3 linked regions of the Rhinolophus ferrumequinum genome follow. The protein of the gene in region 3 binds, or shares a complex with, the protein of the main gene of each other region. Links are inferred from orthologs where the notes say so. Each region holds a gene or a part of one and is shown on either strand. Other genes may lie near its edges.

What was found.
Region 1: the proteins of MAP2K1 (region 3) and KSR1 are in contact, whole or in part, in a crystal structure (PDB 9AXH), measured with the Homo sapiens proteins. The link is inferred for Rhinolophus ferrumequinum from reciprocal best matches to the Homo sapiens genes MAP2K1 and KSR1. Residues at the interface, in NP_002746.1 of Homo sapiens: Asp217, Ala220, Asn221, Ser222, Phe223, Val224, Gly225, Thr226, Arg227, Ser228, Met230, Arg234, Leu235, Gln236, Gly237, Met308, Ala309, Ile310, Phe311, Leu314, Asp315, Val318, Asn319; in XP_011523731.1 of Homo sapiens: Asn767, Gln768, Leu769, Lys770, Leu771, Ser772, His773, Leu776, Val784, Arg785, Met787, Thr788, Pro789, Asn823, Gln824, Ala825, Ala826, Glu827, Ala828, Ser829, Ile830, Trp831, Gln832, Gly834, Ser835.
Region 2: the proteins of MAP2K1 (region 3) and KSR2 are in contact, whole or in part, in a crystal structure (PDB 7UMB), measured with the Homo sapiens proteins. The link is inferred for Rhinolophus ferrumequinum from reciprocal best matches to the Homo sapiens genes MAP2K1 and KSR2. Residues at the interface, in NP_002746.1 of Homo sapiens: Val81, Glu102, Met219, Ala220, Asn221, Ser222, Phe223, Val224, Gly225, Thr226, Arg227, Ser228, Met230, Arg234, Leu235, Gln236, Gly237, Met308, Ala309, Ile310, Phe311, Glu312, Leu314, Asp315, Val318, Asn319; in NP_775869.4 of Homo sapiens: Lys674, Arg818, Asp820, Lys821, Leu822, Arg823, Ile824, Gln825, Asn826, Ile837, Arg838, Gln839, Leu840, Ser841, Pro842, Gln877, Pro878, Ala879, Glu880, Ala881, Ile883, Trp884, Gln885, Gly887, Thr888, Met890.

What each region holds. Positions count from the first base shown.
Region 1 is NC_046304.1:19,618,164-19,629,016, forward strand, and holds the start of KSR1 (kinase suppressor of Ras 1), read right to left. Parts: upstream 5,040-10,853; 5' UTR 4,804-5,039; coding exon 4,573-4,803; intron 1-4,572.
Region 2 is NC_046308.1:11,440,231-11,450,482, forward strand, and holds the start of KSR2 (kinase suppressor of Ras 2), read right to left. Parts: upstream 5,244-10,252; 5' UTR 5,050-5,243; coding exon 4,870-5,049; intron 1-4,869. UniProt on the Homo sapiens protein: Location-regulated scaffold connecting MEK to RAF. Has very low protein kinase activity and can phosphorylate MAP2K1 at several Ser and Thr residues with very low efficiency (in vitro).
Region 3 is NC_046289.1:44,580,555-44,591,518, forward strand, and holds the start of MAP2K1 (dual specificity mitogen-activated protein kinase kinase 1), read right to left. Parts: upstream 4,254-10,964; 5' UTR 3,739-4,253; coding exon 3,659-3,738; intron 1-3,658. UniProt on the Homo sapiens protein: Dual specificity protein kinase which acts as an essential component of the MAP kinase signal transduction pathway.

The sequences.
Region 1 (10,853 bases), on a different chromosome or scaffold from region 3:
CAGGGAAACTGCGGGTCCCTCTCCAGGCCGCCTCCAAGGAACGCTGCTGGCACGTTTCACCAAGGAAAAAGTTGAAAAGACAAAAGCTGACACCAAAGGGGACAGTGCCGCAGCTCCAGCAGGAGGTTAAAACTATGGTGATGGAGAGGAAGCAGAGAAAGCCCTCACTCCCAGGCAGTGGTTGGGTGGGGAAAGGAAAACCAGGTCGCGCTGTCAGTGCTGCCAGGGATGTGTGACTCGGGACAAGTCACCACCCAGACTCTGGGATATTTCCCGTAAAACTAGGAGGTTGGACTGACCAACTGTTCAGTCATATTCCCATTCCTAAGCACTCTTAGCAAGCCAGGGTACTGGAGTTGCTATCGTTTGCCTGCCTGGCTCCCCCATTAGCCTGAAAGTGTCCCCGAAAACCAGGAGAGCATCCTACCTATCTACCTCAGAATCCTTGCCAGAATGGCTGCCGCTAGGAGCTCAGCAGGCAAATCAGTAATAACTGAAGGTTTGTCAAGTGAATACATGTCCATGCCTGCCCCAGGACCTGATCTGTGAGGATAGAGGGCACTCCACTCCTTACCCAGCAGTGCCACTATCCAGATGCTCCGGGGGCATGGGGAGGGGGCCACAGGGAGGGCTCAGGTCCTCCACACAGCAGGCTTCTGACGTCTGCCACAGCTGAGCTTAGTGAAAGTCAATTCTTCCCAGTACCAGCAGCTACCTCCTGGCAACTCCTCAGAGAAGTGGCCTGTGTGCAGACAATAACTACTACAGCTCCCCAATGCCCCCTCCAGCGTGAGGCCTAGGGGCAAGGTTCTCTGGGGACCCTTCCTCCCTGTCAGCTTAGGGTTTTTCTCTAGAAGAGCACAGGTGGCGAGACTTGGTGTGGCGAGGCCTGTCTCTGGAAAGTACTAGTAGGCTGGCAGAAAAGGGCAACGCTGCAGTGTCCACATAACGGGAATCTTCATGAGGGGCCACTGTCTCCCCAGCGCCCAGCACAGAATCGGCCCAAAGAGGATGAATACATGAGGGAATGAACTGGTGTGGGGCTTCAGGCCCCGCTGTGAAGCCAGCTAGGTATCCCCACGTGAGCATATCTGATGAATGAGAACACTCTATGCTGTCTCAGTGGAGTTCTCAGACCCCTCAGAGGGTCTGAGTGAGATGGGGTACCAGGTGCTGCTGGGATGAAGTAGCCTCACCACTTCTGTTTATAGATTCAGACCCTGGGTTCAAATTTTGTCTTCCTCCCCTTTCCCACGTAAAGAGAAAAACTATGTGTGTCATGAACGTTGGTGGATTTCCAGGAAATCTCATCAGACGGAGAAGCGACCAGCACCAGGTAGGCAGGTCGGAGGCAAACATTAAGCTTTGGCTCCTTCCACTCTTTTGGATCCAAACTGGACTACTCTGTGGAGAAAGTCATCATAGGCAGCCAGGCACGCTGACCCCTGCACACTGTCACAGTCTGCAGTCTCCGGCACCAGCAGCTGGGCCTGGGGTCAAGGACTTCCAGGAGCATCTCACGTGATGTTTTTCCCAGTGAATGCTTATTTAACGAGGGCCGGAGTGGGCTGGGGTTCCTAAGACTTTGGGAGAAGTCTGGCGTAGTTGCGTAAGCCAAGCCCTCTGGTCAGTCCCTTCTCCAAAAGCCAGGAATCCAGTGTTGCAAGCACTGTCTCTCTGGGGGCCCTGGCCCTGGTATGTGAGAGGATCCTGCAGAACAGGAAGGAAAGCCAGAGTGGACATCACCACTGCCCCATGCTGCTGGGATGGTTTCTGGGCCTGTGTCACCCACCACTAGGAAATAAGAGCCAGCTATGAAGTAGCTTCCCCTAAAGGTGGCCTGTGGCGTGAACGCCATTGGATCCTCGCTAGGGAAAGTTTATAGGCAGCATCACTTAGTAGGAAGAATGTGGACTTACAGACTCACAACAGGTTCAAGCAGTCTCATCCCCATTTTACAGATGGGGAAGCTTGAGATTCAGAAGTCGTGGGACTTGCCCAAGGTCACACAGACAGAACCTGGACCCGAAATCAAAGCCATGGGCTATCCCATCTGCCATACTGCCCCTATCATCCGGAATCTTTGAGTAATCAACTTCCCCCCTATTTTAACAGTTTGATAAATCTGGACTTTAGAACCATTCTTAAACAGGGAATATACTTCTTTTTCATTTTTTTTATTAGTCTTGTAAAATTAAATTTATTAGCGTAACATTAATAAAATTAAATTTATTAGTGTAACATTGATTAATAAATTTCAGGTATACAACTACAAAACACATCTGTACACTCTTATTAGGTGCTCACCACCCAAGGTCTAGTCTCCTTCCATCACCTGTATTTGACCTCCCCTTAACCTTATTCGTCCTCCCCAAACCCCCTTCCCCTCTGGTAACCACCATTCTGTTGTTTGTGTCTATGAGTCTGTTTGTTTATTAAACAGGGATATTCCTAAACAGAGGTATGTATAACAAACACTGACTCAGCCCAATTGAGGCACCTTCACTAAACCACAGTGTTTAGAGCCACAAGAACCCAGAGATCCACACCGTCCCCCCTGTTCAGGTGAGGAGGCTGAGGCCTCCAAACTAGCTCCAGGGGTCTCAATTCCCATCCTCACAACAACCTGGGTCCCTCCTTCAAGAAGTAGCATGGACCTGAACTCACATGACAATGAAGAAGACAGTGAGCTGGTTCCCATTTATACTGCAAATGCACTTCAGATGGGTTTCTGGCTTGATCATCCCATAAACACTCAGGTGGGAGGCCACTGAATAAACCAGCTCAGAGACCTACACAGCTGGATGCTCTGGGGTGTCATGACGCCACACGTTGGTCAAAATGAGCTACTCTGGAAGTCAGGGTATCAAGAGGGCAAAGCGCCATTTCCAGAGAACAAGCAGCAAATGGTTCTCCTGTAGCCACTCTGCAAACGAGGAGAACTTCAAACCGCCATGGGGACAATCTGAGAGAGGCCAACACAGAGAACGTTCTCTCATGCCAACAACACAGCGGTCCAACCAGGCACATGCTGCTGGACAACGACCCCTCCTCCAGGAACTAAGCCTCACAGACCCCCTATTGTGTTGGTTTAAAAACTGAACTTTGCTGGGCAAACACACTGGGCTGTGTTTAAGAAACCAGTTTCTCTCACCACTTGCAAAACAGCAGCATGCCTGCAGAAGGGACAGTTGTGGGGGGTGCTGTTGGTTGGTTGGTTTTTATTTTTAAGCAAAGCCCTGGTCAGTAATGGTATAGCAACTGTAACAAAAATAATAATAGCCAGCACTGATTGGATGCTTCCAATGTCCGGGTTTTATAGCTTAAGAAAATAAAACTGAAAAACTCACCCCAGAGCATTTTAGATCAAACGGGGAATCAGGTTTGTGGTGTGCACAGAGGACTGGGTCTTGTAATAATTACCACAAATCACCAGCTGGCCCTATGACAGCTGGCAGAGGCAATTAGCAATAAGGGGGTGGGGGGATAGGCTGTGAAATTACCGTTCTAATAAAACAAAACATCGCCAGATGTGCAGAAGGCCAGATGTGGCAATGCAAGGTGAAGCCCCTTCTTCAAGCTGGAGTTACCTATTAACTGGTCTCTGGATTTCCACAGCCTTCCCAGCCTCTGGACAAAAGCAAGTTGGGAATGCACCAGTTTCCCTCTATTGTGTATGGGGGAGGGGGAGACTCCCCCTTCAGAGAACCCAACAACCCTTTTGGCTGCTTCTTCCAAATCCTTTTAATACCGCACTTCCACAGATATAATTTGAGAGAGGAGGGCGGGTATATCTTATTTCTTCTTTACACTGGAGGCTGTCTCCATCAGAAGCCCTTAAATAGTGTCATCTTCTCACCAAAGGCTCGTTCTCCAGCATAATCCTTCCTAAGCTAAAATCCAATGTTTGGAGGGGAGTGGGGAGAGTCGGTTTGAGCAGTGAAACGCTGTGGCAGTGCGAAACGAAAGCACCAAATGCCTGAAGAGCAAAAATGCAGTTTCAGCAACACTTTTTGAAAACGGCAGACAAGAACCTGAAGGAGAGGAAAGGAAGGGAAAAGGCAGTCTGGGGCGTGTGGGAAAAGCAGAGAACGACGGGCCTCTGCTCACACTTCAGGGGGACCTCCCCCCCCACCCCCGCCCCGTCACCCCGGCCCACGGCTGCTCCGCTAAGTCACACAGGGAAAAGTCCAGCGTGTGACTCAGTGAGAGAATGAGTCCTGCGGCCCCGCAAGCTGCAAATGGGGTGGGGGCGGAGGTGGGGAGGCAGGGGATGTCCGCGCGCAGCCCACCCCGCCCACCGTCTCCCGGAGTCCGCATCCTAGTTCCCACTCCGCCCCTCCCCCAAAAGCCCGCACAGAGGGGCTGGTCCTGGGTCCTCAAGCCGCCGCATCAGCGAATGGAGGAGGGAAGAAGCCTCAAAGGGGGGCGACCCGGGCTCAAGGATGCAACTGGGAAAGGAGTGAAGTGGAGCAGGGAGGGAAGTGTTGGGGGCCGCGTCCCAGGCTGCAGACCCCGGTCTCTTCCAGCCCAGCCCGGGTCCCCTACCCTCTGGCGTCGCGGCCGCCTTACCTCCAGGGTCCGGATCTCCTGCTGGGTGAGGTCGTTGGACACCGCACACTTGGTGCGCAGCCCGCGCAGGCTGCCGATGGAGATATCGATGAGCTTCTGGAGCTGGCCGCACTGCTGCAGCGCCCGGCTGGCCGCGGCTCCGGCGCCCCCCTCCGCGGCCGCCGCGTCCCCCCCGCCGCCGCCCTCCTTCTTTTCCCCCATCGCCGCCGCGCGCCTTGCCGTTCTATCCATGCCTCGGCATCGGGGCCGCGGGGTGGCCGAGGCGGGGAGCCCGGGGACGCGGGCGCCTCGGAAGGGAATCCTCGAGCCGGGAGGGCTGCACGAGGAGCGCCCCTCGGCGGTGCAGGAGCCCGGACGCGAGGAGAGCCGGCGACCGAGCTCACGGCTCCTGCCCGCCCAACCGCGGCGGCAAAGCGAAAGCCGCGGCGACCCGACGGCTGCGGTTCCCGGAGCCTTTAAGTGGCAGCAGGGGCCGGGTCAAGGCAGCTGGGCATGCTGGGACTTGTAGTCCACGCCGCGCACCTGCCTCCCGGCCCGCGCCTTCGGAGCCCCAGCCCGCGCCCTGCGCCTGGAGCACCGCGGTTCCGGCCTTCCCCTCCGCGGTGGGCGCTGGCGGTGTGGAAGCACCCGCCTCTGTGTCCCGGGAGTGGCTGCTCCGCGCCGACTCCTCCCCGGGACGCCCAAAGCCCGGGGAGCCTCGTCTCCCCGCCCACCTCTGTCCCCCACGCTCGCCTCCATCCTGGGGGCTTCCCGCGACCCCGGGATGGGGCGGGGCAGGGGCCAACGGCCCCTTGAACCAGAGGAGGAGTTGCATCCTGCAATTCCTCAGCCGCAGCCAAACCACGGAAGATGGGGACAGTGGAGGTTCCAGAATTTCTGTGTGGGTTTAGGGGCCGCCATCTAGTGGGAAGGGGCCTAAAGTGCTTGTCCTGTAGAGGCTTCTCAAAGCTGGACCCCCGATTGTCTATGTTAAAGGAAATGCTCACGCATGAAGAAGGACTGAAGGGCATTCTTCTAGACCCTTTTTACCCTCCAGAATAAGTGTCCCATCTCTGCCACCCCAACCCAGCAGGACAGCCCAGACGCTTGGGGCGGTACATTGATTGGTCGTGCCCTTGGGAGTGCTTTGGGGCCGACAGCCTGGGTTCAAATTCAGCCTCTACCACTCTCTGGCTGTGTGGCTTGTCAAAGTTAGGTCACCTCTGAGGGTCTTGAGTTTCCCCATCAGTAAAAATGGGGTTATAATAGTACCTAGCTCTTGGGATTCATATGAAGACTGAGTTCATGTATTTACAGCACTTAGATTGATTGCTGCCACATGTAGTTACTGGGTAAATGTCAGCAATTGTTACTATCTAACCTCATATCTTCTAAACGTAGCCCCAGACCCCAGCAGTGGGAATGGGTACAGTACCCCTTCTAGACTAGTAGTTGTCTGTTTGAGCCTTTCTATGCCTCCTCACTCAGCATTCAATCTCCATCAAATCACCATTCCCACACTCCCCTCCCATCTCCTACCGGTTCACATGTGCTCTATGATCTGGCTAAACCGAAAAGCCAAGACACAGATCAAAGGTCCCACACATCCATACTTCCAACATCTGCCAACCAGAGGAACTCTCTCTCTGAATTTTCTCTCGTAAGCTCCTTGGCTGCCCAAGTGGCTAGCTAAATTATCTTGGTATCCTCTTCACAGAGCCAAATACAGTGTATGGCACACAGTAGGCACTCCATAAAGTTGCACAACCCATTTCATTAATTCTTCAGGCAGGTCCTAAGCCGAGTTTCTGTTTCTCCTATCTCTCAGGCCAGATTAGTAAATTCTCTCTCTCTTCATTTTTTTTTTTGGGGGGGTGGGTAATGAGAATTGGACAGAAGGTAGGGTCCCAGCATTATATTCCTGCACAAACTATACATATAGTCAGTACTGGTTGGCAGTTTATTTTACACCTTCCTTTCATGTCATTTGAAATTTTGAAATAAATATTAAGGTCTGAAAAACAAAACCATGATAACTGAAATGTGCTTTTGCAAACTAACCCTTCCTCTGGAAATTTTCTGAAACACAAGAGGCTTCCCCGCCCCCACTGCCCCCCTCCCGCCCCAATTCCTCTCCAATTCCTGAGCCTTTCCACCAAGAACCACTGATACAATCCTCACTTAATTTGTAACAGGACTCCGCGTGCTGTGTCTCTGTATGAAACCCTCCAACCCTGACTGTTCCCTTAACCCCACCCTCCCCCATGAGGCAGAGTAATAACTGCCCTGAAAGAGAAATTGTATGACAGTGGTTCTCAAACTTGACAGCGGATCAAAATCTCCTGGCTCAAAAATCAAAGGCTCCTTAATACAGTGACCGACCGCACCCACACAGTTTCCCCTTCGGTAGATTGAACACAAGGCTGGAGAATTTGTGTTCTGACAAGTTCTCAGGTGATGCTGATGCTGCTGGTCTAGGGTGCTGAACTTTGAGGAGCCTTGGCACAGAGGGATGTCAGGTAAGTAGGCTCACAGCGCAGCCTGGCTGGTTTAGAACCTCTATTTGGTCAGCAGTCAGAGCTGCCAGGCTTGAGCAACTGACTCACTAGTGGTAACTCAATTCCCGAGAGATTTCCTGATTAAGTGCCGATTTATGCCTTTACATCAAGCTTGTAATTGCCATAGAGGCCTGGTCAACACATTTTCCCCCGGGGCCACTTTATATGGAAAGCCATATCCTGAGAAGACCGCTGCCTGCCGGTGGCATCCACACCGACCATGGCAAGCGGCAGTCAGCGCTGGAGACTGGGCAAACCCCAGCTCCCTGGCTGCTGTCCCACCAGGCTTCATGTAGCCAGTTCCTCTTCTGTGGACACAGTCTTCCTTCTGATTTGTTGAAAGCATGCAGTAAGCCACAGCTTTCCTTCCCGGTTCATCTCAGACACACTCGAGCCTTCTCTACTGGGTTTGGGTGTCCTGGCAGCCACATGTTTACAGAACTGCCTCTTGGAGATGCAGAAAGCAAGGATTTTTAAATAATCCCTTTATGCATCCTTTTAATATTCAGTAAGTATTCACTAAGTGTCTACTTATGCGGCAGGCCTCTGTGTTCTGGACTCTGAGAAACAGTAGTGAACTAAACCAGGAATTTATAGTCTGGTGAGAGAAGACAGAGAACAAACCAATAAGTAGAATGCACAGTGTATTAGGTCGTAACAGGTGCTATGGCAGCATAAAGCAAGGAAGGGGGACAGGAACTGCAGCATTTGCAACTTCAACAGAGCTGTTTTAGGGAGTGGGGTTCTCAGCTCCGTCTCTGAATCGCCATGTGACTTTGGGCAAGCCCCCTAATCTCATAGTCCCTCTCATTTGCAAGATGAAGATGATATGTTTGGAGGACAAATGGAGATGACTATGCAAAGTGATGATCACAAAGTAAAGGTTCAACATAATTATTGTCGTTTATTCGATAAGTACTGTGTGCGAAGCACTGTTCCAACCAAATGCCTTACGTCACTCATTTAATTCCTGTTCATTACTTTCCTTCCCCACCTTCCAGAGTGAGTCTCTTCTAGTTAGGTGAATTCATCTACTACGTGTTGATTCTTAGGTTCAATTTCAGCTCCAGATTCGTGAGACTTTCCGTGGTTCCCTTAGGACAGACAGTTCGCTCCTTCCCTCCTCCGCCCCTCTGCCTCAGGCACCTCCAGTAGCATCGCAGTTAAGTTTTCCTAGGATGGACTCCCCTTCCTACATCTCCACAACACAGCAGCCATGCAAGCATGTTCATGTTTCATTCTTCACAAACATGAAAAGGGAAGCTACCATGTATGTGCCAGGCTCTGGAATAGGCTCAGAGTGAAGGTAACCAAGTCCTTATTCACATGGAACAAATGGGAGAGTAGAGACAGAAAATTAACAAGTCAACAAAGACAGTACTAAAATAAATACAGAGAATGACCAGTGCTGCGAAGGGGGTTAAGCAAATAGCCATAGCAAGTTCCCAGAGGATAAAGTGCTCATTAGACAAAGAGGTCAGAGAAGTACTTTCTGACTAACTGTTGAACTAAGATCTAAATAAAGAAAAAGAGCAAGCCGCATGGAGCTCTTAGAAAGGGGCATTCTAGGCAATGGGAACACAACGTGCCAAGACCCTGAGGCGGGAACAGCTTGGCTCAGGAACAGAAGGAAGGCCAGTGTGTCTGCAGTGTGATGAGAGAGAAGAACAGGGGTTGGCCATGACGTGGGGTTGCTGGGCAGGAGCCAGATAAAGGAGGACATGGGCAGGAAGTTTGGATTTTTCTCTAGGTCTGTGTTGTTCCTCACGTGGTCCAAGATTACTGTATCACCTGGGAGCTGGTCAGACACGCAGCGTCTCAAGCCCCACCCCAGGTCAACTGAACCACAACCTGGGTTTTAGCAAGATCCCCATATGGCTTGGATGTATGTTGAAGTCTTAGAAGCATAGCTCTCTAGGGACATGGGAAGAAAGCCACATTCCTTGCAAGGGAAGTGCTTGAAAAGATCCCTCTGGCCACCACGTGGAGAGTGGATAGCAGAGAGACAGGGCAGAAGCGGGGGAGTGGGGGGTGGCTGATTTTGAGACTGCTGCCCATGGAGGTGCGGGAACAGGAGCAGCACGGGAGAGGAGATGATGGAGAAAGAGAGGGGATGGAGGACACATTTTGGAGACCGAGTCAGCAGGACAAGCTGATGGGTTGAATGTGGGAGGAGGAAAGGAATGATGGTAGCTATCCTGGCCATATCGCCTCTGCTCCTCCAGAGATACCGCAGGACTCTGTGAGGGGAGCCCTACCTTGGGTACCACAGTCCCTGTCCTATTCCCATCTCCACCCCCAGCATCATATCAGGACTCAGCAGATTTCTCTAAGAACCCAGGACACTGCAGGGGGAATTTTGGTTTCCTGGATTTCACCTTCAGTTAAATTGTCCAGGAAATGTGTGGCATCACCCTGGAGAGAGGCACTCTATTATTACATATACCTGTGCTCATTCATTCATTCATTCATTCAACATTTACAGAGCCCCCAATATATGCTCAACACTGTGCTAGACTCCGGGAATAGGGCAGTAAGCAGTACATCCCTTTATCGTTTATAAAAGACTTGGATGTGAGTTCACAGTAACCTGTGTTGTCTTCCTAAGACCCTTCCCGTGTTGTTTCCCGGCTAAAAAAAAACCCCTCGGCTTCCCCACTGACCTCAGAGTGAAGCATGAATTCCTCAACAAGTCCTACAAGGTCCTTCATTCCCAGGCCCTGCCATCCGCTCTAAGCTCCTCTGCTCCCCAAGACTTTTTTGAGTCCATGTCTCAGTTTAAGAATCTGATGAAAATTAAAAATGTCTCTCCAAGAAAGACTAATACACACACTCACAATAGTGATACAATGTCAGGGGGTTTGTGGTCCCCCGGGAGGGTATCCATGAGCCCCAGGACTGTAGTCAAGTTTAGGAACCCTGCCTAACTATTGGTCCTCGCTGCCTTTACTCAACAACCTTGGGCCACCTGTGGAGTATCATGTCACTGTGCCTTTGCTCAGGCTGTCACTTCTGCCTGCTCTGCTTCTTTCCCATGTCCCCACATACACTTCTGCTCAGCCCGTAGGTCTGGTTTACATGCCCCCCACACCCCACCCACAACAGAATCAGTCTTTCTAACTTCCACCGTCCCAGAGAACTTGGCACACATCACATATTTTGGTTCTCGGCTTGTCTATTTCCCTAACTGGATCGTGAGCTTCGTGGACTCACGCAGACTCTATATGACCTAGGAAAAGTTTTCATCTCTCTGAGCTTATATTTCCTCCTCTGTAAAAAGAAGTATAATAGGAGCAGGCCCAGTGGCTCAGGCGGTTAGAGCTCCATGCTCCTAACTGCCAGTTCAATTGCCACATGGGCCAGTGGGCTCTCAACCACAAGGTTGTCAGTTCAATTCCTCGAGTCCCGCAAGGGATGGTGGGCAGCGCCCCCTGCAACTAAGACTGAACACAGCACCTTGAGCTGAACTGCCGCTGAGCTCCCAGATGGCTCAGTTGGTTGGAGCGCGCCCTCTCAACCACAAGGTTGCCTATTCGACTCCCACAAGGGATGGTGGGCTGTGCCCCCTGCAACTAGCAACGGCAACTGGACCTGGAGCTGAGCTGCGCCCTCCACAACTAAGCCTGAAAGGACAACAACTTGACTTGGAAAAAAGTCCTGGAAGTACACACTGTTCCCCAATAAAGAACTGTTCCCCTTCCCCAATAAAAAACCTTTAAAAAAAAAAAAAGAAGAAGAAGAAGT
Region 2 (10,252 bases), on a different chromosome or scaffold from region 3:
AATTAAGTCTAGGGATGGTTTGTTACATCACAATCAATAACTGAGATGGAACATATGAAGAACAAATAAAGGCTATGAGTATGGCTACAGGAAGGCTGTATGAGGAGATTCTGTACGTATCCGCGCCCCCCCCCACCCAATCCCTGATATTTCCCTCCCCTCCTAACTTAACCAAAATAGAGCCCCGCTCAAGACCATCTGCACTTGGCCAGCCTCTGCCAGTCCTAGTGTCACTTGCTCACCTTTCAGGTGATCTCTGTGCCTCTGGGGTCTTTCCTGTCCCATCCACCCCTTTGACCAGGGATCAGCAAGCTACATACAGCCTGTGGGCCAAATCTGACCAGCATCTGTTTTTGTAAAATCCTACACCTAGGAATTTTTAAATGTCAAGAAAAAAAATCAATAGAAAAATATTTTGCAACATGTGAAAATTACATTATTTTCAATTTCAGGATCCATAAATAAAGTTTTATTGGAAAATGTTCACTTATATATTGTTCACGGCTGCTGCACGCTCCAAAAGCAGACTTGAGTGGTTGTGATGGAAACCATATGGCCCACAACGCCGAAACTATTTACTATCTGTCCCATTACAGAAAAAGTCTGACGGCCCCTGCTGCAGGCTGCAGGCAGCCACCAGACTAACCTTTAAATATCTTTATTTAATCGCTCCCAAACCTTTGAGGGAGAAGTCTCCTCCCTCAAACGGATGAAACTTTGTTGATGTGATCCCCCATCCTATGTCAGAGCCCAGGCGTTAGCGACCTAAATTCATTTCTTATGACACTGTATCAGGTACTGCCATTTTGGGCCAACTGGTCTCTGAGCCGCACCATGAAGGCATTTTCATGCCTTCATCAGGTTTGTTGGTCTTATCCAGCGAGCCACCTACTGCAATCAAAACCCTCCCCATTCTTCACTCCACTCAGAGTCCCCAGGTCCCCAACCAGGACCACTTCCCTAACTGCTTTGCCATATATTTCCCCAGGTGTGTTCCATGGAACATCAATCCCAAGAGATATCCCTGTAAAAAAGGAGACTGCAGACTCTATCCTCTCTTGGAAAGTCACAACATACATGTATAGGGCATAGTAAAGGCTCTGAAAAGTCCTGCAGTAAAGACACATGTTTCTCTTTGCTTAACTCAGCTGTTTCCAAACATATTAACCATGGAATTCATTTCATCTACAGAGTACTTGTTGACCACCAGCATCTAACACAGTGCGTGGATTTTAGCATTTGTCGAAAGAATGAAAAACGCTAATCTTCCACAGAATTAGGGATCCACAGAACATACTTTGGAAAGGCTGCTCTAGTCCTTTCTTCACTCCCTCTGATCTGAGCTGTTCCCTTCAATGTCATAGACTCCACACCATGTAATGTTAATCATGCCATCATAGTAGCTGTCATTTATTTAGCATCTGCAGGAACAGTGCTAGAGATAGCATTAGACCCCTGAAAATGTCACCTCTTTTCATCCTCACAACCACCTCTGAGGTACGTAATCTTGCCATTTTGCCAGAAATGAAACCATGGGTCAGAAAAATTAAACCACTAGCCCAAGGTAAAGTAGAAAAGCTAGAATTCCAAACTGCATTAGTCTAACTCCAAAATTCATGGTCTTTCGTCTCCACCAAAACATCTCCCTAAAACATACCGTGCCGATGTGCTAGCTATCCACCCAACATCCCTCACGCCTTCTTCCATGCTAGCAGCACCCTGATTTTGTATGAATGGCAACAGGTCAACCAAGGCAACAGATCATGACCCATCAAACTAATCATAAGTGTTCCCACTTCTCCACTTCCCAGCCTTGCAGCTAGCACTAGCCAGTTGACCCAGTTCTGGTCAAGAAGATATAATTACACATCATCTGTGGGGTAGGGAGGCGGAGGTGTCCTGGGGGAACCAAACAACGATATGAACCCGTTATGCCTTCACACTCACCCAGTTCCCTTCCTTCGTACCTTGAACTTGGGTGTAACGGCTGAAGCTTCAGGGGCCATCTTGCAACCATGAGAATTTGCAAAGACTTCAGCCCTGATATTATTAACTTACCGAGCCAACTCAAGCAGCTGGATACCACCAGACTTCTTGTTACACGAGCAAAAGAAGCCACTGTTTGCTTACCCACAGTGATTGGATTTTCCATTTCATGCAGCTGAACACATTCCTAGTGGACCCACAGGCTTTTCCCTATATTTTTACCTGTTTGGATTTCATCATTATTTCACATATATATTATAAGCCTTGCCTCTCCAACCATGAAGTATGCTTCCTGAAAGCTAAATCCATGTTGTATATTTTTGTTTCTACAGGGGTATATGCATTTTAGTAAATTTTGCTTATTACCCAGGTTTTCAGGGATGGGCTGTTCGATTTAATATTTTATTTAGTGTTTGGGAGCCGTAAGTTGTTACCATGAAATAGCTGAGAAATGACATCTATCTCCTAATAGATTTCTATTTCTCAAAGTGTCAGTATGAAAACATGCATCATAAACAGCTGCACTGTTCATTAATGCAGAGTCCTGGGCCCCCTCCAATGCCCACTGAATTAGAACCTCTGGGGTTAAGGCTAAGCACGTGCATTTTTAAGCAGCTCCCTGAGTAGCTTTCACATACAAATTTTGACAACTGTTGGGATGAAAAAAACAAAACAACCACCACCCTGTGGGTTCAAAGCCTAAGTGAAGTCTGGCAGCACCTGGCTGGACCCCCCCGAGTCACCAGCCCATCTTCAGTGACCCCACTCTAGCCCTAGAAATCTGGGAAGCCTGAACTGGCATCACTGCTCGAGACCCTTCCTTGGGCAATATGGATGGAGTGGTTGGTGGCTTGCTCTGAGGTACACCGGGTCAGAGCAGTCCCAATAACTGTAACCTCCCGCCTCACATACCAATATCTCCAACCCCACCCTCCCCACCCCGTTTAAAAGGAAAACAACCATGCAGAAAAGCAGCCACCAGATCCAGGGTCCACTGCGACCATCCCCATTGTCCAGAGGTTGTCAGAGGGTGGAGCATGTTGAACAGAGGAAAAGCAAAGAGGAGAATTTTACACAACAATCCACAAACTAGCATGTGGGACTCCCGGCTCAGAGGAAGAGGAGAGGCCGCAGGTGGCCCTTTGGGTTATTTATTTATTTACGGCATGCCATTCGGAACAGAGTCGGATCTTGGGCACTGCTCAGACAGACAGAAGGCTGGCTCAGGGCATCCCATACTTTTTCTCCCAGCAGCAGAGTCCTAACCTACACTGCTCTCCCAAAGCTCCAAGGAAGAAACTACGTGGGCCTCCCCACAGCATTTCTAGCCCTCCGACACCCCTTGACATTCATCTTATTTCATTTCTGAGGATTATTTTCCCAGGTGACAGGTGCACAGAGACATGTATTCTAGGGTAGCAAACAGCATATTCAACACACACACACACACACACACACACACACACACAGCACTAACTCTATTTTCCAACTGATGACCTTCCTGCCTCTAACATCCAGCCAAATCTAAAACCATGGAGGGAAAAGACGTGCACGGGAATCAGTGGGTGCTCATCCAGACTAGCACGGGGGCAGGAGGGCGAAAGGACTCAGTAAGGACTGACGAGTTCAGACCTGGGAAAGCCATGGGCTGCCAACAGTGAAGCTGCCAGCACTGCACATGCCCACTCCACCACAGGAAGAGTCTCTTTCCTTTGCTCCCAGCCCTACTGTCACCACCCTCTGCAACTGCCAGCTAATGGGAGTTCCCAAATTTAATCAAGCCATGTGTACAGCTGGGCCAGTTCAAGGGAGGGAAGTGAGTCGGGCCCTTCAGATGTTCCAAACAACGTGGGTGCCCAACGCTTGGGTAGACACCAGGCATCTTCTAAGGCTCTTGCAACCATCCTCCTTTGACCAAATGGCCTTCGGAAGAAACAATTTCTGCCATCTTCTCTCTGAGTAACGTTGCATCTACCCCAACCCCCACCCCCCCACACAAAACTGCTTCAAACTCCCCCTCAAGTTCTGTTGGAGAGAATGTTACAACAGCCAAAGATAACTCCTCCCCCGACCCCTTTCCTCCCTCCTCCTCCTCCCCAAGTGCACAGACAGCAGGGCATCACCTGGTTTGCTATCCCACCGAGATTCAAGAGTATTTTCCCACACCCCTTGTGTGTGCTGAACCAAGCTTTTTTGTTTTTTGGTTTTTTAAAATCTTTCTACACATTTTAGGCCTGCAACAGCTCCCTGCATCAAAATGATTGGACTGGACATGGGTAGCTCAGTGAGGATTTTTTTAAATGCATCTTGCCTCCTGACATGTATATCACTGAAAAAAAACAAACCAAGAAAACAGAAAACAACGAAATCCAGGGAGCAAACAGGGGCTGGGAAAGAGGCCGGGAGAGGAGGTCTATATTTATAGGCAACCCCATTCCGGGAGCAAAAACCACCTTTTGACCACCTGCAGAATGCGGAAGATCACGTGGGTTCTCTGCAGCGCCCTAATGTCTTACCCAGCACACAAACCCCCGTGGCATATAAACAAATCCACAAGCGGAAAAGAGCGAGAACTCACTCCTCAGAGAGGAAGCGAATGATAACAACAGCCGCAAGAATAATAATAAAGAATAACAATTACTACTACTACCACCACCCAGCCAAGCGTAGACGACAGCAGTACAGCAAAGGGACATCCAGTGCAGGCTTTGCAAGAAGATAAATCACAGAAAACCACATCGTGCCCCTCTTGCTACCCTCCCACCCCCAACCCCCCAACAAACGGAATCAAAGGAAAGGGGACGGTGGGGAGAAAGGGGAGGGAAGGCAGGGCTGCTTTCCCCCATCCAGCCCCCCACGCCCCCATCCCTAAGCAACACCTACCTCCAGGGTCCGGATTTCTTTTTGTGTGAGGTCGTTGGAGGTAGCACATTTGGTCCTAAGCCCTTCCAGGTTGGAGATACTCAGGTCTATCATGTTTTGGACCAACTCGCACTGCTGTAAGGCTTTTTGCAAACTCAGAGGCTGCTGCTCCTCGCTTTTCGTCATGTTTTCCTCATCCATCGCTTGCTCTGCAAGCCCCCTTCCCCTCCTCCTTCTCTCAGAGAGAAAAAAGGGGGGCGGGGGGGGAGTAGAGGTAGTCTACCCCCACGCCTCTCCAACCACTGCGACTTCTCAACAATGTCTCATGAAGAAGGAACCCAACATCTCACACAGGGTGGGGGGGGGGTGGGAGGAGGGGACAAGAGCCAAAATTTATTATTTTATTTTGGGGTATCAAGCCGACTCCATTAGAACGTCTCCTCTCTCTGAGTCTCTGGTCCCTGAAAAGGAGAGATGCTGTTTCTCAGAAGCAAACCAGGTGATGTGATGCTGTCCGTACACTTCGGGAGGGGGGGGGGGAGGAAAAAGAGGAGGGGGGAGGCAAGGACGGGGGAGAGGCGGAGAAGAAGGAAAATAGCGCTCACTCTTTACACACCGGCTCCGTGAAGGGCAAAATTATATATTTTTGGCTGGTTGGCTTTTATGTCAAAAAAAATCTGGTTTGCCCCTCTCCCAGTTGCAGGGACACGGCATTGTCCACTGTTTGGGGTGCTTTAGCGCGTTCTCAGGATGCTGTCCGCATTGCTCCCGCGGCTGCGACGGCGACTGCGGCTGGCTGCTGTCTCCTCGCGCTGCTGCTGCTGCTGTCGCTGCCGCCGCCGGGCTCCGGGGGTGACGGCTGCTGCATTCGCTCCTGCCTCGCTCCACACCGACATCTTGCCTGTCAATCAAAGGGCGGGGGAAGCGAGGGAGCGCCGGCGAGGGATGGAGAGCGAGCGAGGGACCTGCAGGGGAGCGGGTTGGTGGAGAGGCGCCGTGCGCGCATCCGCCCCAGCCGGCCCGGCCCCGGCCCCGGCGCGCCAGGGCCCCGCCGGAGGCGGCGGAGGAGGCGCGCGCGAGCTCGCGCACCTGGCCGGGGAAGGGACGGCTCCCCAGGGGCCGCGGGGGGGCGGGATTTCTAGGGGATGCGGAGCTCGCGTGGCAAAGTGAAATTACTACCCGGCGTGCGTGCGAGCGGGCGGCGGGCGGGGCGCGGGGGCAGCGCGCGCGGCGGGCCAGCGCTGCTCCCGGGGGCGGTGGAGACGGCAGCGTGTGTGCCAGAGCGCGGAGGCTGGGCAGGGGGGCGGGGAGAGGGCTTTGGTGGGGGGGGGGGTGGGGGCCACTACTACAGCCCCGCTCTCGCGAGACGAGGACGCAGTGCTGCTCAGCAGGTGCGCGCTGCCTGGGAGCAGGTGTGCGCCCAACTTTAAAACGCTCAGTGCGTGCTGGAGAAGCGTCCGCGTGAACCTGGGCACGTCCTCTCTGGCTTTCTGGCTCCGTGTGTGCGCGCGTGCCTGTCTTTTTGTTCGTTTGTCCTTTCTTGTGACTGGGGGAAAAAATAAAAGGAACCTATGCTCTTCCACGAGCTGTAGGAAGCTGCCCTCCCAGAACTGGTACCCCGATCTGCAGTTCCCCTGACGGGTGGCTTTCCAAGTGGAAAGGGAAAGAGGCTTTACCTCAACCTGATTGTCACCATGTCCCATGTGTCCTGCGTAATCTGATCCCAGCCTACCTAACCAACCTTATAGCAGCAAACTATGGCCCCAGAGCTAAGAATGGATTTTATACTTTAAAATGGTTGGGGGGAAAAATCAAAAGAATATTTTGACATGTGAAAATTATAAGAAATTCTCATTTCAGTGTCCATAAATAAAAAGGGAGCACTTGCCACCCTTTTGTTTATTGTCTGTGTTGACTTTTGCATTATAACAGCAGAATTGAATAGTTGCAACAGATACTGTTAAGACTTGCAAGGCCTAAAATATTTGCTATCTGGACCTTTACAGAAAAGCTGGTAGACTCGAATGAAATCACCAAACATCTTCTTGCCTCCGAGTTCTTTGCCCTCTACGTCCCTTCTGTCTGGACCACATTTCCCTCTAATCCTCTCCTGGTTGGCTCTTTATCACTCAGTGTCATCAACTCAAATGTCATCTCAGAGAGGTTTTATCTCCCTGACCATCTTGACTAATCGTAGTCCCAACACACATTGCCCAAAGAATGTATTTAGGATAATTAGCAAAATGCATCTCTTTATCCAGGTGAACACGGCTCCACGCCAGGGACCTGGGCTTATGGGCCAGAGTAGACTCAGAACATACAGTACAATAGGTGTCCCTTCAAGGAAGTCACTGGAGAAGTAGAGAGAACGACAGCCAGTCATGGCAAACTTTTTTATAGATTGTGGGCCATAGGGTTTTATAGCTCGTACGGAGCTGAAGCAGCATTTTAAAATCCCTCTGTTGATGAGAAGCTCAAGGGAGTTCTATGTGTTCTCAATCTTTTGGACTATGAAGTTTATGAATTCCAATTCTCTGATAAAATTCTCTTTTCACCTATTTTTCCCATTTTGTTTTCTTTTTTTGGGGGGGGTTGCTTTGTTTTTCTTGAACATATTAAGGTTAAAACACTTGTCTAATTCCAATACCTCGGTCACCTGTGGGGTCTGTTTCTATTGACTATTTTTCTCTTTGTCTTCAGTAATTTAGTCCTGTCTCTTAGCAAGCCATGTAATGTTTGTTGAATGCCATACAATCTGTGCATGAAAAAAAAATATGGAGAGTCTCCAGGTGAAGCTATCTAATTCCAGAGAAGGCTCACCCTTTCTCTGCAAGACAGATGGCACGGGGACTGACCATCTTAATCCAATCAGAGGCTGAGCTGGGAGGAGGCTGGGTTGCAGTTTTCATAAGACAGCACCTACCTTGGGTCCCCACCTCTATGGCTTTGCCTTTCAGGGATTCCAACCGAGAATTTTAGGTGTTCACGGCAGCCCCTACCCTCCCAGTGCTGAGCTCTAATCCTTATCTCCATAATATGGCAAGGCTGAACACTGCCCTCTTTTTCAGGGACTTTCTGCTTGGCTTCTTAGTCTCTTGGCCAGCACTGTTTCAGAATTTGCCAAATGTCTTAAGGGGAAACCACCAACTATCAAGCTCACTTTTCTGCCCCTCCTTTCTCCCTAGGATATTAGCCTCTCAAATCCCCTAGTTTTATCTCTCCAGCCCTTTGAGACTGCCAAAGGTTCTGCTGGTGTCTCTGTCCCCCACCAGCAGGAAAAAGTGGCTACAGAATGTCAGCTCATCTCACCACAATTCCTCTCTCTCCAGAACCTTGGCCCCTCTAGTCCTGGTTGTTTCCCAGCTCTCTGAGTGCCTTTAAGTAGATGATGACGATGATGGTGATGATTTGGTCTGGCTTTTCTAGTTGTTTTCAGAGGAAGTTGAAGCAATGAAAGCAACCCATAGGTCAGAAGTCATCAACAGGCAGTGCTGTAACCGCCACCACCACCACCACCCCCATTTTTGTCAATTGATTGCTATCGTGGACATTTGTTATGCTTTGCACCCAGCCAGCCCTCTTTGAATATCCTTTTTATGTTTGGAAAATGAGTCCCATCTCGCCATAAGTAAAACCAAAGCACTTTTCCAGAAACTTCCTTGCAAGGAGGTTTCATGGGATCTAGGTTCTGTCCTACTGCAGTGGTAGCAACAAAGAGAAGGAATCTACCTGACTGTGACCATGGCAGTCAGTGTACCTGCGTGCAGGTGTCCTGCCCGTGGCTAAGACTGGCGTTCGTGCTGAGAGGCCTGGCATGGTGTTTACAGGGGCAGCCCCATGGTGTGCTTGGGGCATCATTTGGGCAGCGCAGCCTAAGCCTGGCTCTCCTCCCTGCCTAGAGACTCTATTGGTTTTTCTAACCACTTGTCTTAGTCTGTTCAGGTTGCCATAACAAAATACCACAAACTGAACAGCTTAACCAACAGAAATTTTTCTCCCAGGGCTGAAGATTGGAAATCTGAGATCAAGGTACCAGCATTGCTGGGTTCTGGTGAGAGTTCTCTTCCTGGATTGCAGATGGTACCTTCCTGTTGTGTCGTCACATGGCAGACATGGCTCATGTGGCTTCCTCTACTTATAAGGCCGTGGCCCTATTGGATTAGGGCTTCACCCTTTTGACTTCATCTAATCTGAATTGCCTCCTAAAAGCTGTAAAGACACATTGGGGGTGAGGGCTTCCACATCTGAATTTGGGGGACGCAATTCAGTCCAGGGTACTGCCCGATTAAAGCTTAAACTACCTGGAGTAGATTGTATCATTTGCAACAAGGAACCCTGGCTAATATTCTTGGCAATAATTCCAAAATCGGGAGATGCAACCAAAAAATGGAGATTTCTGGCCTTTCCGGGAAAATGGGAACATCTAGCCACAGTCGGGAAGAAGTGACTAGATGCGAGAGAAAGCTATCCCTTTCAGGTGGGGCACAGGCTCTCCAGTTCACCAGGTGCCAACTCAGCCCCCATCATTCATTATTCTTATTTCCTGCATTTGCTGCCCCTGGTATGGCTTATGGTGGTTGGCACCTCAGATCAATAAGAACCTCACCAATTTCAAGCTTGGAAAACTGGAGCTAACTGATGAGAACTGTGTTGTTATTGTATGGCATCCCAGAAACTGTGTACTACCTACCTCTGAATGACGCATGTCTCAGAATGGCTTTATCAATAGTGGGAATAAATTATCGTTACTGGGCCACTACATCCGCTGCACTTGGCAATGTCTCATTAGATCCCATAGCTTTTAGAATCAACTGTAAGAACAGTCTCGGATTCGGGTATTAGAAGTCTAGTCTAGTGCAATCAAACCTTCTTCCTCATATCTAGTTTGTTACCTTCTTCCCTGCCCCTTCTGGCCTGACCCACAAATGGCGCAGCAATCTGCAGTGGAGACTAGGGCAGGTGTGTCCTTTCCTGCCTCCTCTGTAGCTCACCTTGTTACAGGAGCAGAGGAATGAGTGGAAAAGGGACCCTATGCTAAGAACAGGTGAGTACAGGTATAATTCTCTCTTGAGTGCCAGAGGTTCCACCCCCTCCACCCCCAGTGTCCTGGCAAGCACTCACATGCTGGCTCTTTTACATGGAATGCCTCTTGGGAGATTCCCTGAGGACCTTATAGAGACTCAGTGGACCTGCCAGGTGACCGCTTGCACACCCCTTTTACATTCAAAACCCCGGAAGTACTCCCACATCCTCTGTCAGACTTTCCCTTGCCTGGCAGTTTGTCCTCTTGCGTGAGTCTTTTCAGGGTGACTCAAGCGTAAGCACATACGCTCTGGCCCATGGGAAACAGGATGCATTTTGTCCTGCTGCCCTCATCCTCACCCTGTTATCATGGGCAGCCCTA
Region 3 (10,964 bases):
TAGACTGATAAGACTATACACTGAATACCCTAGAGTGAGTGAATAGTGACTGTGAAAGAAAAGCAAATGGGGGTGGGGGAATAAGAATAAGAGGGAAAATAAAAGAAAAAATGAAAAGGTATAAAAATTATTAAACACATTGTACAAATATTAGAAATTTCATTCACTCAACAATTCACTCAACAAACATTTCTGCACTTATTTATGTGCCAAATACTGTATTCTAGGTACTACTTACAGAACAGTGAATCAAAAATAAGCAGCCCTATGCTTATAGTTTATGGCGTACAGAAGAGAGAAATATTAAAAATACCCTAGGAAAAGATTATTGATAGTGAATGAGTGTCATTAAAAACTGAGGTGCAAGGGTGGCCCGATTGCTCAGTTGGTTAGAGTGCAGTGCTCTTAACAACAAGGTTGCCGGTTCGATCCCCACATGGGACAGTGAGCTGTGCCCTCCACAACTAGACTGAAACAACTACTTGATTGGAGCTGACGGGTCCTGGAAAAACACACTTAAATAAATAAAAGTTAAAAAAAATTAACTTTTTTTTTTAAAAAAAAAGCAAAAAACTACTGAGGTGACATGAGAAAAAGGGATCTACTTTAGGTAGTCTGTGAACATCTCTGAGGAAATGACATTTAAGTAGAGAGGTGAAGATTGCTTCCTTCCTAACTTGAGAAGAGGAAAGGATGATTCAGGCAAAAAGGAACAGCACATGCAAGGGCCTGATGGGAGCACGGATCATCCCACCGAGGAAGTGAAACAGGACCAATGTGGTGGAAGAAAGGAGCAGCAGGAAATGTAATCAAAGAGATGGGGGTGGGAGCCACACAGTGGCTCAGAGTCTCATAGTCCAATATAAGAAGTTTGGATTTTATTCTAACTGCAATGAAACCATGAAAACATTTTAAAGAGGGGAATATGATCTTATTCCCAATTAATTTCATTCCAACACTTAGCACCCTTCCAATATGATCATACGTTTTTTGCAAAACCTGCAAAAGAAGTATTTTTGTATTCATTTTCTTCAAGCACCTCCCAGAACCTGCATAAACTTCAGGTTCCACATAACCTAGCTCTGTCTGAACGGGTTAAGCGCTACGTTCAGACAAGGTGCCAGGGAGCCACAGAGAAGCAATCTTGCCAATTTAATACCAATAGTTCTTTACTGTCAATGGATTTTTTTCTTCTTTAGTTTACACTGTATGATAGAGTTCACAACTGTGCCCTGATGGAATCACAGAAATCACGGTAACAGTAGCTTTGCTTGAGAAACACTCTCAAAGGTGAAAGATGAAGATGTGTACAGCTTCTAATACCAACCCTTGTCCCATTAGTGCCAGAAAATGTAGTGGAACAGTCCCTGTTTGTCTCAGGCAGCCTACACAAAGATGCCTCCTATTGTAACACAGCAATGAGTCATGGAGGTGGATGCAGATGGCACAGAAAACTAAGCAAGGGAGAGTCATCCAGAAGCAAAGGCACCTTAACACACACACATATCCACCGGAGGAATGAAAATTACCTTCCAGTTTCCTTCAGCCTTCTCAACATTTATCCAATTAACAAAGGCACTAACTAACGTTTATGGAAGATTTACTACCATGTTTCCCCGAAAATCAGACCTAGCCGGACCATAATCTCTAATCCATCTTTTGGAGCAAAAATTAATATAAGATCCGGTCTTATAACATATAAGACCCAGTCTTACATTAAAATAAGACTGGGTATTACATTATATTAGACGCGGTCTTAAATACTATATTAAAATAAGACCGTGTGTTATACTAATTTTTGCTCCAAAAGACGCATTAGAGCTGATGGTCCAGTTAGGTCTTATTTTCGGGGAAACACGGTATGTATTAGCTTATTTAATCTTCACAACTACCCTAAGTCAGTTCTATCATTAGCCCCATTTTCACAGATGAAAAAACTAAACCTAAGCCTTAAAAAGACTAAAAGATTTGTCCCTAGTCACAAAACTACAAGTAACACAGCCAAGTTTCAAACTTAGCCTAACTCCAGAGTCCAACCTCTTAACCACTGTTTAGAATCTCCCAGTCCCACCCAAATTTTTCTGCCATCAGCTCCAGGGTAGCTTCTTCTTTTCCTCTCTGTATGATTTTCTGTTAATGAAATTTCCTCCCCTTTGCAAGAATACAACTGTAGTGTCACAATTAACAACAGAATGAACAGGTACTTCTACTTAGTACCTTCCTCCAAATCAAATAGGAGCAGAATGATCAGGTCACAACATTCAGCCAGAATTCACTCTGTTCAAAACAAAAGGTCAAAAGTTAGTCCTGAAAACAGTGACAGTTACTAAGGAATCCCCTGTCTCTGGGGGTTTTCAATCTGTTTTAAGGGGATAAAATTCTGTACACTAAAACTAAATGAATGTTTGCAAAGCAATGCACTGACCTGTACAAGTCAATATCATGCAAAACAGACACTAGGGGATTGAAGAGGATTTGTTGGGAGCAGGTGTGAAGAACCTGGCTGAGCTCACACCACAGGTCCACTACTGGCCTTAGGATCATTACAGAGATGGACAAAGTCACCAACAGGTCCCTGGACTATGAAAATCTAGAGAGGAAGGAAGGTTACAGAAATCACCGAAGGGCAGAAGGTTCAGGACTGCTCCATTCACTTAATCAGCTAGCTTCCTAAAGTCTCCCGTGTGCAGGTAAAAGTATAAGAGCCAAATCTTTCCTGGTTATTTCTCCAGCTAGCAGGGTCTCTCTCCCCTACACAGTCGTTCCTGTACCTCACCCCAAACCAAAAAAATTGGGGGAGCTCAGAAACCCCCATGAAACAATCTCATTATAATTTAATGTAATCGAGTGCTGGTTCGTGAGCAACCCTGGAAGCTGCAAAGATGGAGCATCTTGTGTGTAGTATTCGTGGCCCTGGTGTTCCTGTGTCAGGAGTGTGGGGATCACGGGGAAGTAACAAATGCCAGGAGAGGCACTGGTGAGGAGTGATTTGCAGAATGCAGGAATGAATGAAAGAGAGAATGAAGGAATGAATGAAGTCAGATGAAAAGGAAAGCCGCTCCCTATCAGACCAGATGGTTTCCAGGAAGAAGGGCAAGGACCAGGAGCCCCCAAAGTCGGCGATGGAAGAGCCTCACGGGGTTGTCGGTGTACACACGCCCCCGCTGGCCAGGCAGCGGGCCGGCAACCAGGCATTCCCGGCCCACAGGTGTCAGGCACCTAGGTGAGGATGCTCTAGTTGGTCCCAACTCCACTCCATACCCTGAGCCAGTCTCCAAGATGCAGATAACATCTTAATTCTTTCCAAGAATGTGTTCCCTTCTCCCCGTTACAAGTCAGAATCCCAGAGGATCGAATTCAGAAAACAGCGGGGGGAGGGGGGCGGGGCGGCGGGTGAACCAATCTTTCATTTTCTTGTGGCCAGGGATGACTGAAGGGGTCGGGAAAGAGGGGAAAAATCGAGACTGACTGGCCTGAATCCGGAGCACAATCAGTGCTTAGTCACAGATACCACGGCAGCCGGGAGTTCCTCGCTCCTGCCATTCCGAGACGTACGTGACGAACTCGAGCGGAGCTCGGCGCGCGGTGCACAAGCTCCTGCACCCCCTCGGGGACCTCGCCAGCCCAGCCTGGCGGTCGCCGCCCACCCCATACTTACTCCGCCGAGCTGGTGCCGTTAACCGCGGAGCCGTCTGGGGCCGGGTTCAGCTGGATGGGCGTCGGCTTCTTCTTGGGCATTTTGAACCCGGGAAAGGCGCTTCCAACTCCAAGGGGAAGGCGGCCCCTCTGCTTCCTCCCTCTGCGCTGCCCCGCGACCGCCACGCGGGGCCAACTGGGAGTCGCGGGCTTGGGGGCTGCTTTCGAGGGGGCGCGCCCCGCGCGGTCCCCTCAGCGCCGAGGAGCTGGTGGCGGTCTCGCGGGACCCCCACCCTAACTCGCCCAGGGCTCGGCGCACAGGGAACCGAAGGGCTTCCTCGCCGGCGCAGTTCGGCAGCCCGGGATTCCTTCCCGCTTTCCCTCAGTCAACGGGTCTCCTCGGGTTCGAGCGGCTCCGCCGAGCGCGCACCAGAGCCCTGCTCCAACCACAACCCAAGAAAGTACCGCCACCGCCGTCGCCGCGCTTCTAGCCGCTCCGCGAAGCGGTCCCTGGGAGGGACGGGAGGCGGGGGAGGGGTGGGGAAGGGGGAAGCCTCGCCCCCCGCCCCCCACTGGGGCTGCTGCCTTTTCCACACACCCACTCGGCTCCGCCCCAATTGCCTCGCCGACAGCCAATGGGAGCAAGCCTCGGAGGCAGATGACGCGGAAATACGTCACGGGGGCGCGGCGCGCTGCCCTGGGGGCGGAGTCCGGCGCGGGTTCCACAGCGCCCTCTGCTGACCGGAGGCAGCCAGGTAGACCCTCCGGAAAAGGACGTCATGCATCCTGGTTCCCCCAGGGAGCCGTTGTGTTGAGTTTATTCTGGACGGTACCCTGCTGACTCCTCCTCTGTAGTGACTGGAGCCCCGGGACTAAGTTACATTGACAGAGATGAAATAAAATAAAATAAGGTGAAGAACCCCTTCTCATGACAAGAGGAGAGGCAAAGTGGGAGATTAGAAAACTTGTTGAGAGACTCCTTGTGCTTAACAATCTGGTATATATGTACATACATACGTATATATTATATATATACATACAAACATATATATATATATTATATATATATTACATACATATATATGTAATACCACTGATCTACCGATGAGGGTACAGTGAGATGAATACTCAGTATTGATAAGGTTGTAAATTGGGGCAATCTGTTTGAGAGCAGATTAGTAATATTTTTTAAAGCCTTAAATAAAAAACCCTTTCATCCAATAAGCCCAGCTCTATGAAACTTGAAGAGTAAAGATGAGAATAAAAAGCTTAAGATAAAAGAGGCACAATGCCTACTCAAATATGCTCATCCAGTTTTCCCCTTTGTCCTTGCTAAAGTAATCCTAAAGGCATTAGGTGTGCAGAAACAAAGTAAGCATCTACAACTGGTGGTCCAGAGCAGGGTGTCAGCCACTCAAGCAGGGAAGGAGGCTGTAGAAAGCAGAGAGGGTGAGGAGGGCGTGCCCACCAAGTAGGCAGCCCTCCACTAAATCTTGTAGCCCTAGAGCCAAGTGGAGAGGCATGGAAGCTTAGATGGGGGCCTAAATATGATTAAAGATAATATAGCCAGATTTCTCACTGTGGGAAAAAGAAGTTTCAAATCAGGAAAGGAAGGAAAGGGAAAGAGAGAAAACCCTGTGGTGTTGTTTTGGAATTGGAAGTATTGATGTGAACACATAGTTTTCAATATATAGGAAAACATGTAAATGTATGCATGTGTGTGTGTAGATGTCACTCTGTATTCATGTTAAATATGCCAACTTTTCATATCAGAGTAAAATAATAAACATAAAAATTAATTGAAACTAATTTTTTCAGAACAATGTATATTGAGGAGCAAGGCAGGCTATCTTAATTCTAGCACAGTTTTATATTTACTAGTGCAAATGAATACTGGTGGAATTTTGACAAATCGATTGAGCTTTTCAAGGCCTCATTTTCACCCTGTGAAAAATATGAAAGTCCTCCAATACGGAAATATTATGATTCTGTGAATGCTGCTGAGGGTTGGCCTCCACTGAGTGGTATTTCTAAACCCTCACTGTAGCTTGAGGAGTCCAGATCAAGAAATGCCCTGGTGGTTTAAGTTTGTTAGAATAGCCCAAGATAGGAGTTTTCCTTATTTCCATTTTAGATAGGCAGTGATTCATCAATCCTGTCAACTTTTCCTAAGTGCCTAACATAAGTGCTGACCATATAGACAAGAATAAGACTCAGATATATGTGTGTGAACTAGTGATTACAATGTGATAAACACTATGTATTAGCCTGGACCGTATGGAGTTGCCGTTTGTGCGTGTAAAAAGTGCTTAGATTTTGGCAATTTCATATGGTTCATCCCATACGTACATATCATAGTGAGATCACAAATGTGAGGAACCAAGAAATACAAGGTCAACCAATGATGAAAATGTATCATGAACTGAGAGCTAGGTTTAACTCGGTACTCTATGAGGTCCAAAATCAAATAAAAGAAAACAACAAACAAACAGAAGAGCACGAATTTGAGAAAAAATGACCTGGATTCATTCCAGTTCTGCCTTGGACTGATTATTTTCTTTCTGGCCTCTGCTAACTCATCTATAAAATGAGAATTATACTACCTACTGTACCAGATTGTTATGAACATTAAATCAAATTGTGAAAGAACAGTGCCCAACATAGAGGAACTAAATAAATGGTGCGAGTGGTGGATTTTCATCATGTAAACATAATCTGACGGAAGGAGAATAATTAATAGAGGCTTTCTGGAAAAAATTTTGATTTTCAGTAGTATTCACACACTTTGACTCAGTAATCCCACTTCTATGAATCTCCTGTAAGGAAATTAGGAAAGCTATGTACCAGAATGGTATTATTTAAATAGCTAAAATCTGAAACCACCTAAATATTCAACAAAAGGGAAATTATTACATCATTTATGATACACCCATATGATGGAATGTTGGTCAAGAAAATATTGGCTTTTCTCTCCAGAAATTTCAATCAGTAAGCAATTTTTTGGACAATCGTTCTGGAATGTTATCTATTTTCTTACCAAGGAAGAGAAAAAGTGACTTGCTTAGTATCAACCTGTGTTTATGTAAACACTCAAATAAAAATGTAAGTGGAATGAGCCAGCATTGGGCCACCACCATTTTTGGTAAAATATAATAAAGTATGTAAACATCTGGGAAATGTCCAGGACTTTCATTTACATAGAATATTCAGTACAAGGCTTAGGGACAACTGACTGGCCATTTGGGAAAGAAATGAAGGTGACTCTCTAGTTTACTCCTATGTGAAAAATGAATTACAGGTTCATCAAAGATGAAACCATAGAAGTTCATCAGAAAGTCCATCAGAAAAGGAACATCAGAAAATAGTTTTTTAAAATTTGGGATGGAAAAAAACCATTCTAAGCAAGAACAAACCCCAAAAACTATAAAGGTAAAAGATTGATAAAATTAACCTCAAAAGCATTTAAAATTTCTCCATGGGGGAAAAATGCTTTGTACAAAGACATAAGTACACAAGTGAGATCTTGAGAAAACAAATGATTGCAATATATATAACAAAAGTCTAATTTCTTGACTATAAAAACAATTCTTAAAAATAAAGAAAAAGAAAAAATAAATAAATAAATAAATAAATAAAAATAATAAATAAAGAAAGAAAGAAAAAGGACCATCTACCCAACAGAAAAATGGTCAAAGCACATGAATATACATAGTTCATAGAAAAAGTAATAGAGTTTTCAAATATATGAGAAAATGTTCACCCTCATTTAATAGAGAAGTGCAAATTAAAATTAGATATCACCTTTCACTTCTCAATATCAAGTGTGTGTGGGGAGGAAGCACTCTCAGACACTATTGCTAGGAGTATAATTGCTGCAATCTTTTTTTTTTTTTGCTGCAATCTTTTTAAACAGCATTGTGGCACTAACTTTTTTTTAAAGTCCCATAAGTGACCCAGCAATTTCACTGTTAGGATTTTTCCCTACAAATTTACTTAGACATATGTCCAAAAAAAGATTCTTTAAAAGCATGTTCACTGCAATATTTAAAATCTTTTTAAAAACTGGAAACAACTCCACTATCGAGAGGAGAGTAAATTATGGAATGCAATTAAATAAATTATCATACATTTGTACAAAGAAGTACTATCCAGTCATTCAAAGAGAATTAGATAGACTTATCTATGCTGGTATAGAAAGATCTCCAAAATGTGTTATGTTACAAAAGAAAAAACAGAGTAGAACATTGTGTATGATGGTCCTATTTGTTATAGGAAAATGGATATATTTACATATATGCTTTATATAATAGAAAATTTCTGGAAAGACACAAAAGAAACTGTTAACCGTGGTCGCTTCCAAGGAGGAGCCCTAAGAAGTCTGGGGGTAGACTAAGGTTTCCTTTTCGTTTGGTATTGTTTGAATTTTTATTATATATAACTTATTCAATTAAAAACAACATTAAACATTTTTTAAAAATATTAAAATGGGAATGTAAAATAGTACAGATATTCGGAAAACAGTCTGGCAGTTTCTCAAACTGTTAAATATAGAGTTACTATATGACTCGGCCATTCCACTCCTAACAATATACTCAAGAGCAATGAAAATGTACATCCATACAAAAACCTGTACATAAATGTCTATAGCAGCGTTACTCATAAAAGCCAAAAGGTGGAAAGAACCCAAACGTTCATCAACTGATGAATGGGTAAACAAAATGTGGCATATTCGTACAATGGAATATTACCCATAAAAAAGAATGAAGTGCTGATCCATGCTTCAACATGAATGGACCTTGAAAACATTATACTAAGTGAAAGAAGCCAATCACGAAAGACCATGTGTTATATGATATATAAAATTTCCAAAACAGGCAAATCAATAGAGACCAAAAGCAGATTAGGGGTTGCTTAGGGCTTGCTGGGGCAGGTGAATGAGTGATAGTAGGATGATAGCTAAAGGGTATGGAGTTTCTTTACGAGGTGATGAAAATGTCCTAAAACTGACTGTGGTGATAGCTGCACATCTTTCTGAATTTATTAAAACTATTGAATTGTACACTTTAAATGGGTGAATTGTATGTTATGTGAACTGTTTCTCCATAAAGCTGTTATTAAAACAATAGCAACATGAACAAGGAAATTCAAGGGAAAAATAAAATATAGTCAAGACGGTAACGAAGAACAAAGCTGAAGGATTTACACTATCAGATATCGAGATCCATCTAAAGATTGAGTATTTAAGACAATATGGCACTGGCACAAGGACAAATAGGCCAATGCAGTAGAATAGAGAATCTGGAAATCAACCCATATGTATTTGATCACCCAGTTTATGACAAAGATGGCAATACAGTACCGCGGGGGGGAAGGATGTTCTTTTAATAAATGCACTGGGTCAATTAAATATCCATATGGAAAAAAATAAGTCTTAACCCCTACTTCTCTCTTTACATAACAAATCAACTCTAGATGGATTATAGAACTAAAACCTTTTTTGAAGAAAATATTGGAGAATATCTTCATGACAGTAGGGTAGGCAAAGATTTCTTAAACAAGACACACACAAAAACACAAATCATAAAGGAAAAATATGATAAATTGGACTATATTAAAGTTAATTGCTTCTGACCCTCAAAAAGGGTAAAAAAGAGAGAAGACATTTGCAATGCATATATTGCAAAGAGAACTTATATCCAAACTGTATAATATTAAGAACCCCTACATATTAGCAAGAAAAAGACAGACAATCCAATAAAAAAAATGGGTAAAAAGACTTGCACAGGCACTTCATAAAAGAAGATATCCAAATGGTCAATAATCATGAAAAGACGCTGAACTTCTTTAATTATCAGAGAAATGCAAATTAAAACCATAATGTGCGTACTTAATGCCGGCAACCTCTATATATAACACAGGTGTATTCCACTTATGATTTATGTACTTTTCTGGATGTGTGTTTCTCCTTCAATAAAACAATTACTAGAGAAAAGAAAAAGAAATTCACAATAAGACTTTTTTCCCTCAGAAAATGGGACAGGATGACCAAAATGCATTTTTATTTGTTCTGTTTTTCTTTTTAAAGTGAAAGAATAACATAGGCCTTTCTTACATTAAAACATTTACGTCTTCTGAATATTTTGTTTTTGTTGCAAATTTTGTGGATTTTTAAAAAATTATATAACTAATACCAGCTTATTGTGTTAGGAAAGAAAACTAGAAAAGCATAAAAAAAGATCAGAAAAACCATTCTTGATACATTACTCAGTGATAACTTCTGTTTACATTATGAGCTCCTGTATTTATCTTAGCCATACTCACACACTGTTGATAGTATAGGGTTAGTGAATTTTATGATATTATCAATTTATGAGTTTTATTTTAGAGGCACGTCCGTATTTGCCTCTTACAATTTAAGATCTTTTATTCTCTTACTATGACACATTCAGTTGGGATATTCAAAATTTAAAAAATGTCTAGTTATTGCAAACAGAAGTCATTTCATATGAAGAAATTCCACCTTATATTTTCTTCTCATTTTAATATCATATTTTCCTACTTTCTAGTTGTGAGAGAACTCTGACTTTATTCAATGCTTTACTATCATTAACTCCCTTTGCCAAGAATTCATTCTCCTCAGGGTGGGTCTAATATTTTAAATGTCTAAATAAATTGCTAAGGAATACAATCCTTTGTCTAGATGTTTAAGGTCCTGTGAGTTTGGCAGCTGTTCCTATTGAGTCAGTGAGTAAAGGGTGACAGTGTGAAGGGTCACACTACCCTCCCTTCCCACTTCAGAGGAGGTACATCCGCTTCCTCAATTCTGGATGTCAGACATTCTGAGTGCAGTGAAGCCACTGGGTTATTTTGGGAGCCACTTTTAATGGTCACTTGCCCTTCATTTAAAGGAAAAGATGCCTCAACAAGGTGAGGGATGATGCAATTTCAATCGTTCTCTAAGGATGTGGCTTCCACCAGACAGGATGTCAGATCTGGCACCTTTTTTTTTTTTTTGGAGGAGAGTGAGGGTAGGGACCTTGCCCTGGCTTGGCCTTTGAGAGAGGAGACATGGTACTCTGCTTTTCACCCTTGGGCAGCACAGTGAAAGAAGATATACTTGGACATACCAGCTTTCTAGAGAGCAGCTGTGGAGAAGGAAGTCTTGACTTCCTTTGGAATCAGAGTCCAGGATCCCAGATATTCTTATTCTCAAATCTGATCTGAGATTAAACAAATCTCTTTCCCAGGATTTTCAGTTGAATGTTTGACATCCTTGGTCTTTTAAAATTTTTTTAATCCTTTTTTCTATTCAACAGAAAACCCCTGCA